2 linked regions of the Tribolium castaneum genome follow. The protein of the gene in region 1 interacts with the protein of each later gene in a pairwise test. Links are inferred from orthologs where the notes say so. Each region holds a gene or a part of one and is shown on either strand. Other genes may lie near its edges.

Evidence for each region.
Region 2: the proteins of GRIP and coiled-coil domain-containing protein 2-like (region 1) and Arl1 interact in a two-hybrid assay, tested with the Drosophila melanogaster proteins (2 studies listed by BioGRID). The link is inferred for Tribolium castaneum from reciprocal best matches to the Drosophila melanogaster genes GCC185 and Arl1.

The regions. Positions count from the first base shown.
Region 1 is NC_087398.1:8,154,290-8,158,594, forward strand, and holds the start of GRIP and coiled-coil domain-containing protein 2-like, read right to left. Parts: upstream 3,079-4,305; 5' UTR 2,953-3,078; coding exon 1-2,952. Other genes in the region: Sym (symplekin), read left to right, coding at 3,274-3,312, 3,363-3,559, 3,604-3,993, 4,041-4,305.
Region 2 is NC_087402.1:10,511,639-10,514,702, reverse strand, and holds Arl1 (ADP-ribosylation factor-like protein 1), read right to left. Parts: upstream 1,821-3,064; 5' UTR 1,656-1,820; coding exon 1,652-1,655; intron 1,590-1,651; coding exon 1,373-1,589; intron 1,315-1,372; coding exon 1,203-1,314; intron 1,155-1,202; coding exon 945-1,154; 3' UTR 745-944; downstream 1-744. UniProt on the Drosophila melanogaster protein: GTP-binding protein involved in protein trafficking; may modulate vesicle budding and uncoating within the Golgi apparatus.

The sequences.
Region 1 (4,305 bases):
CAGCCCCAGAATTTGCCCTTTCAAATTTTCTTTCTCGCTTTTCAGGCTTGTGTTAACTTTCTGATGCTCGGCAATGACTTTGGATAACTCAGTCGACAGTTCCTCATTTTCCGAACGCACGGTTTCCAAAATTTGGGTCAAATCGTGAATTTTGTTCTCCTTACTCGACATGACCGATTCCAAGTCAGAAATTTGCTTCTTACAAGCGATAATTTCAGCCTGTGTTGCTCCGACTTCGCTCTTCATCTCTTCCGCTCGTTCTTCTAAAAGCTTGTTCTGTTCGCGGACCGCATTTGTTGTGCTTTTCTGCGACTCGAGCTGGCTTTTCAACTTGTTGATTTCTTCTTGCTTCTTTTCCAATTTCTGGGACAACTCCTTGACACTCCTCTCGTAGTCTTGCATTTCCAGGTTAAGGACGGAGTTTTTCTTGCGTTCGATATTGGAATGTTCAAGGGAATTTTTCGTTTGTTGGTGGTACTCGCTCTCGGCCTTGAGCGCCTGTTCTTTGGCCTCCAAGTCCGAGGTGAGTTTGGCGATTTTGGCCTCGTATTCCTTCTTCAAAACCTTATTCGCTTCGAGTTCCTTTCTAAACGTCGAAACTTTGCCGCTTATTTGCTTCTTCCAGGCTTCAGTCGTGACTTTCTCTTGGTTTAACTCTTCCAATTCTTTCTTGAGTATGGTGATTATCTCCTCGTTTTCGCTCAGTTTTTGCTTATCTTTGGAAACTTCAGCAAGGGTCGAATCCAATCGGGCGGAATATTCCTTTATTTGTTTTTTGTTTTCGTCCAATTCGTCTTGTAATTTATCGCACTGGGCTTGCAAAGTTGCGATGGTTTTCACGTTACTGGCACATTTTTGCTGAATATCGTTCTTCTCGTTTTGCTCCTTCACCAATTCGTTGGACAAGTCACGAACTTTCCCTTTCAGTTTCACGGCCAAGTTTCGTAGTTTTCCGTATCTTTCCTCCCAAGACCCTTCCAGATCTTTCATTCTGTTTGATTCCTCCGTTCTTGAAATTGTCGACGTGGACATGCACTCGCTATCGGCGTAACTTGAATCAAGATTCGAGTTTAACCGTTCTTTCAAATTCTCAATTTCGTTTTTCAAATCACTGATTTCGGAGGTGTTTGAGTTTAAGTCACTCGTGGCTTTAAGTCGCTCGATTTCGTCTTCAAGTTTTTTAATTATTTCCTCCTTTTGGGATATGTTGTCAACGTTTTTGTTGGCTTGTGTCTCATACAATTGCAATTTTTTCATAACTTCTTCGCAGTGAGATTGCAATTTGGAAATAGTCTCTCCTCTTTCTTTCAGTGCTTGATTCATTTCGTTCATTTCGGCCAAAAGTTCGGAATTTTCTCTCTTCAAACCTGACACGACTTCTTCCAGTTCGCTGTTTGTTGAATCCTCAGTTTGGCATTCCACTTGTTTGCAGTTATCACGGGTGGTTTGCAATTTTCGGTTCATTTCCACCAACTGGGCATTTTCTTGAACTAGTTTAAGTATTTCTTCACTGGTTTTATCAGCAATTTGCCTCTCCGTTTCTTTTGAATGTTCAAGTGCTTCTTGAAGACTGTAATTCTTCTGCTTCGCATCATTTAGCTCCCTCAAGTTTAAATCTAGATCCTCCTCCAGCTTGGAGATGACTTTTCGGTATTCAATGCAAATTTTTTCATTTTCTTCGATTCTGTTCTTGATCTCAATTGTGTCTTTCTTGCTTTGGTCGTCAAAAACTTTGATTTCTTCCTGATGTCTTTCCTCCAATTGAGACAAATTCTCAAGCAGACTCTCCTTTTCAACAGTGAGCGTTTCAACAGTTTGCTGGTAGTCAAGTTGAAGTTGTAACAATCTTTGATTTTCTTCAATCAATTTCTTATGTTCTTTGGAAATTCTCTCAAACTCGCCAAGTTCTTTACTTTTCTCGTCGTCGGTTTTATGTGCCTCAAGTTGTTTCAGATATTTTGCATTACTTTCTTTCAAACCTTCAATTTCCTTGTGATATTCAGAGTTCTGTACTTTGATATCACTAATTTCTTGGCACAACTTTTTTGAAGCTACACCCAACTGTTCTTTCCATTCTTCCACTTGATGTGAGTACGTTTTGAGCAAACGCAAAACCTCGTTTTTATTTTCCTTCAAAACCTTCACATTACCGGCCAGTTTTACAACTTTTGAGTGATAAAATTTCAGTCTCCCTTTAAGTTTCTCAACCAACTCCACATTTTCTCTTGTTTCATTTTTGATTTTTTCTAAATCCTCGACCAATTTCAATTTTTCCTGCAACTCTTGGCCTATCGTTAAAATGTTCTTATCCTTCTCCCCCAGATTCGTCTTGAGCACGTCAATTTTCTCCCTCATTGTGTTATTCTCAGCTTGCAACTTCTTAACTTCCTCTAAACTAATACTAAGCATCTTCTGCAACTCTGCAGACTTATCACTTGTGTCATCACTCCGTAACTTTTGATTCGCCTCTTCCAACATCAGCAGCTGATTTTGCTGTTCAAGTCCCAGGTTTTTGCACTCTTCGAGTTGCTTTTCCAGAGACTCCAGATGCGTAATCAGCTGCTCATTTTCATCCGTCAAACGCTTGATTTGCCTTTTATACGAAATATTCTCGCTTTCAAGCCTATCCTTCTCCTCACACAGACGTGCGTCTTGCGTGCAGTTTTGCACTTTATTCACCAAAGCGGCATTTTGGCTCTTCAAGTCTTCAATCGTGGTAACAAACTGCAACTTCTGTTGGGTCAAATTTTCGATAATTGCAGTTGTGGCATCTCCAGATTCCGATTTTAGCCTATTTTTCAGCTCGTTATTTTCCTCCTGGAGCGCGTCCTTCGCCTGTTTGGCCTTCTGGGCGAGAATCAAAAGCCGTTCGCACCGTTTAACCAATTCCTCTTTCGATAAATTCTCCAAAACGATTTTCTTGCCACTTTCGGATGGCGTATTCGATTCCATCTCGATAGTTACTTAATCTATTGTATTGTAATTTCCAAGTAATTAGCAATTACATTGTATTTTAATAATTTTTTATTATTTTGACACATCAATAGTATTTTGACAGCAAAAGTCGCCAACAAAAAGCGGAAAAGTTACTGTTTTTTGGTAACATGTTCACGTCACTTCTGCCATAACCTCAATCTTTGGCTTTCCAAAAATGGATGATTGGCTCTCATTTTCAATTAATTTAACGCTTTAGATAAAACTAGCTTTGTTTTCGAAATTTCGTTGCTTTAGTGGCAACAATTGCGTCATTTTTGGTTGTAAAATCCTCTCGACATGGATTTTACCATGAACGAAGTTTCCGACGAGGATTTAGTAAAAAACCGAGATTTAGTTGATTTCGGTAGTAAAGAGACGCGTTTTAGGTGACCCAATGGATAAATAGCGCTGCAGTGTCCCGCTCTGCTGCAGAAAAGCTTGAATACTTCCACAAATTGCAAGAAGTTTTGATTCGGAAGTCGCCCCATTTGCTGCCAAAGTTTTTACAAAACATGCTTAATTTCACGACTGATAGGAATGGGGACGTGAAAAAAGCGCTAGTGGGTTTTATTGAAGAGTTATGGTAGGTTTTATGCATTTTAATTGGTTACTTAACTTTTGTTTTAGCAAAATGCGCGAGTCTCTTTTACCTAAAGTAATGCTAAACCTTCATATGCTACTATGTGATGAGTCAATAGCGGTGCAAAAGCGCGTAATTCAAGCTTTAATCAGTATTTATCGCAAAACGTTGGCCTGGTTATGCAAGGCTTCTGTAATTACAGAAGAAATGGAAAACGCCTGGAAGCAATTGTCTGCCATAAAATTAGAAATTGCAAATATGATTGATAGTGACAATGACGGCATTAGGACTAGTTCAGTGAAATTTTTAGAATGTGTTGTGTTGTTGCAAACTTATCCCGACCAGGAAGAGAACAAGAAACCGAACGACTTCTCACTCGATGATGTTCCTCTGACGTTAAAATTGGCGCGGAGGCGAAAACTAGAAGAGGAAGCAAAGTATTTATTTTTTTTTAAATTCGCAAATTTCTAATTGAATTTTTTAGTACCTTGTTTGAGTTACTTTTAAAATTTTTTGGCTCTCCCCATATTAGCAGTGCCAACTTGTTAACCTGCCTGGGCGTTGTTACAAACATTGCAAAAAATCGGGCCGAATTTATGTCTCGAGTTGTCTCAGCTATTGAATCACTTTACAATAACCTACCTCCAACTCTAACAACAACTCAAGTGAATTCCGTGCGTAAAAAATTAAAATCCGAACTCGCTGGACTTATCAAACACCCAGCGGCTTACGAATTTGTGGAGAAATTA
Region 2 (3,064 bases), on another chromosome or scaffold:
ATAGTTTTGGGGCTACCCACAATTCTTCTTTTAAGTAATGGTTGTTTCGATATTTTTATATTTTTTATTAGAAAGAAGTGCACAAAAGTTCTAAAAAAAATGCATATACGTAGAGAAAAACGTTAATTATTCAATGACAAACGTTGATTACTTTGCAACTGTTAGTTTTTGAGATATAGTAAAAAATACTTTTAGCAGACTCAGCTTGTATAAAAAACTACAAACTTTCTGTCCGCTTCAAATAATTAATGAATACGGTTAAAGACAATGTATTAATAACGCAGTTGTAGAAAATATAAATAAATTTGACAAATATGCCGAAATTAAATTAAATAAAAAGCCTGAAAATAAAAAAATCGTAATTTTCACCGGAATCGAATTTGAATAGAAATTGGTATTTTGTATTTTTGACACAACCAAAAAAAAAAAACTAACGAATTGTTAAAACCGTTAAATAATAAAGAAATGGCTCCAGGGACTTTTTGGAAGAAAATTTGATTCTCTACTCCTGTTTACTGTTCCTTTAACCGTATCACAAGGCTTTAGGTACTATTAAATAGTTTAGGCTCGAAATATTTTTGTATTTACTACTAATTTTTTGACTTTTTAAAGGTTGTTTCGCCTCCTAGTTTTAGTCCTCCGTAATAATTTTAAGGATAAAATTTATTTTGTTGCTGCTGCTTGGCTTGACTTTATTTATTTATCATATTTTTATATTGTAAAACAATAAACATACCCAAGGAATCAGTTTTTGAATGACATCCATATTTATTAAGTTCTATGATACAAATGTATGAAATATTAAATACTTTGCGTAACGTAACATGAACATTGGAATGAATCAAACTGACAAAACCAGCCGTGAATAAAATTTAGAGAAACAGCAAAATTATAACTTAAAAACGTATTATTAAAGACTAGAAATATAGTGTGATAATTTACTGTTATTTTTTATTTTTTAACGCATTTGCCAGCCATTCCATCGCCATATCCAAGCCCTCACCTTTCGTAGCTGATGTTTTGAATATTTGAAACGTTCTATTTTTTAGTGCTTCGAGGCCGAGCGCTTGGTGAACTTCTTTTAACGACATGCAACCTGGAATGTCTTGTTTGTTGGCCAAGACGACCAAAATTGCATCTCCTAATTCCTCCTCCTACAAAAAAAATTAAAACATTACCTACCAGAAAAACAAAATTAGTACCCTAAGCATGTGAAACAGCTCATCTTTGGAAATTCCCATTCGTTCTTTATCGGCCGAATCCACCACATAAATAATTGCATCTGTATTACTATAATAACACCTCCAATACGGCCTGAAACCCACACAAATTGCCACGCGCTTAATTAATAAATAATAAACCTCGCACTCACCTTATACTCGTCTGACCGCCCAAATCCCAGACTTGGAAATTAAGATTTTTGTATTGTACTTGTTCAACGTTGAACCCAATGGTTGGAATAGTCGTAACTACTTCACCTACTTGTAATCTATACAAAATGGTAGTTTTACCGGCTCCGTCCAAGCCCAGAATCAAGATCCGCATCTCTCGAGCCCCCAAAAGGCTTTTAAAATAACTAAATAAAACTCCTGCAAATGTTTAGATAACCTCCAAGTCACTTTCATCGCTCGAAAACAGCCAAATCGCTCACCCATTGCTTTCAAATTAAGTGTAACGTGCAATTAATTAGATCGTTGTAACAAATCACTAATTCATTTTTTAACTTAGTTCAAAATAAAAAGTTAAAGCCTCAAATTTTCACCGACCTGACGTGTCGTAAACATAAACTGGCGAGCTGTCAAATGTGCAGGCTGGCCAACTGCTACGTAACGCAACACAACGTAAAAAAACAGCTAATTTTCAATTATTATGGCTGTTAACCACATGTTTGCGTAATTATCGCAATTACTGTCGTTACACTTAATTTAATAATAACGGGGTAATTGGATAATTATTGAAAACTGTACAGTTGACGTGGGGGAATCCCGTAACCTATCAGGTGTTACGATTGGTAGCGCTTTTTTCATTTCAAATAATAATAAATCTTAATTCTTTTCTCTCGAATTAAACACAATAGAAGAGCAGCAAATCTCACGAGAAAGTAAAATTAATGACACAAATAAGCCACATAAATTCCATTTCAAAGCTTTAAAAAAATAACAACAGCTCATTTGCATTTTTTGACGCAAATAGGTCACAAATTAGGTGTTCTGGTTTAAAGAATTCTCTCTAACTGCCGCCACAAAACCATGAAATACGTAAGAAAAGTAAGTATGAAAAGTTGTAGTAACAGATTTTTATGGAATTTAAAATGCAGATATTTTGGAAGATAAAGATTAAAATCCAATTAATGCAACAACCGTCAATAAAAATGCTGTAAAAAAAACTCGTTCGTGAAAGACGTCTGTTTTGCAATAAAAATGATAAACAAACTTTTAAACGTGAATACAGATGCAAAAACATAGTTTCCTATAAAACAGATCGCACTACCACACTAAATTGTGGTCAATGAATTTTTACAACAGAGCAATTAATTACATCTTTAAATTGATTTGGAAGTATTCTGAACTATTTTTATAACAAAAAATCTTCGAAAGAACAGAAAAAATAAACTATCGACTAACTAAAAAATAACTATCGACAACTCTGTACTAAAATTGATGAATATTTTTTTTTCTTCAAATTGGTGCTACGGCCATCAAAAAGTTACGCTATTTTTTTAGGCTATGCAAAGCTTTGTCAAATTAAATTTATTTTTAATAAGTTATCGTGCAATGTATTTTGTGAATTTGTGCTGCCAAAACGAATGAAATAGCTAGTATTTGTATACTAAGGGAGACACCGAAGATAAATCATCTACCTAAGGGAGAGAAAAAGCTTTCCTCCAGTGGTGTACACATGATTTTTCCCGTCCTCTTCATCAGAAAATATCTTTCACCTTCAAAATATTTAGTAACATGAATGTTATTTTCTCCCGACGTACACTTTCATAAGATATTTGGAAGGTAAAAAATGATATTTTCTGATGGGGTAGACAAAAAAATGTTTTTTTGTTGGTAACGTT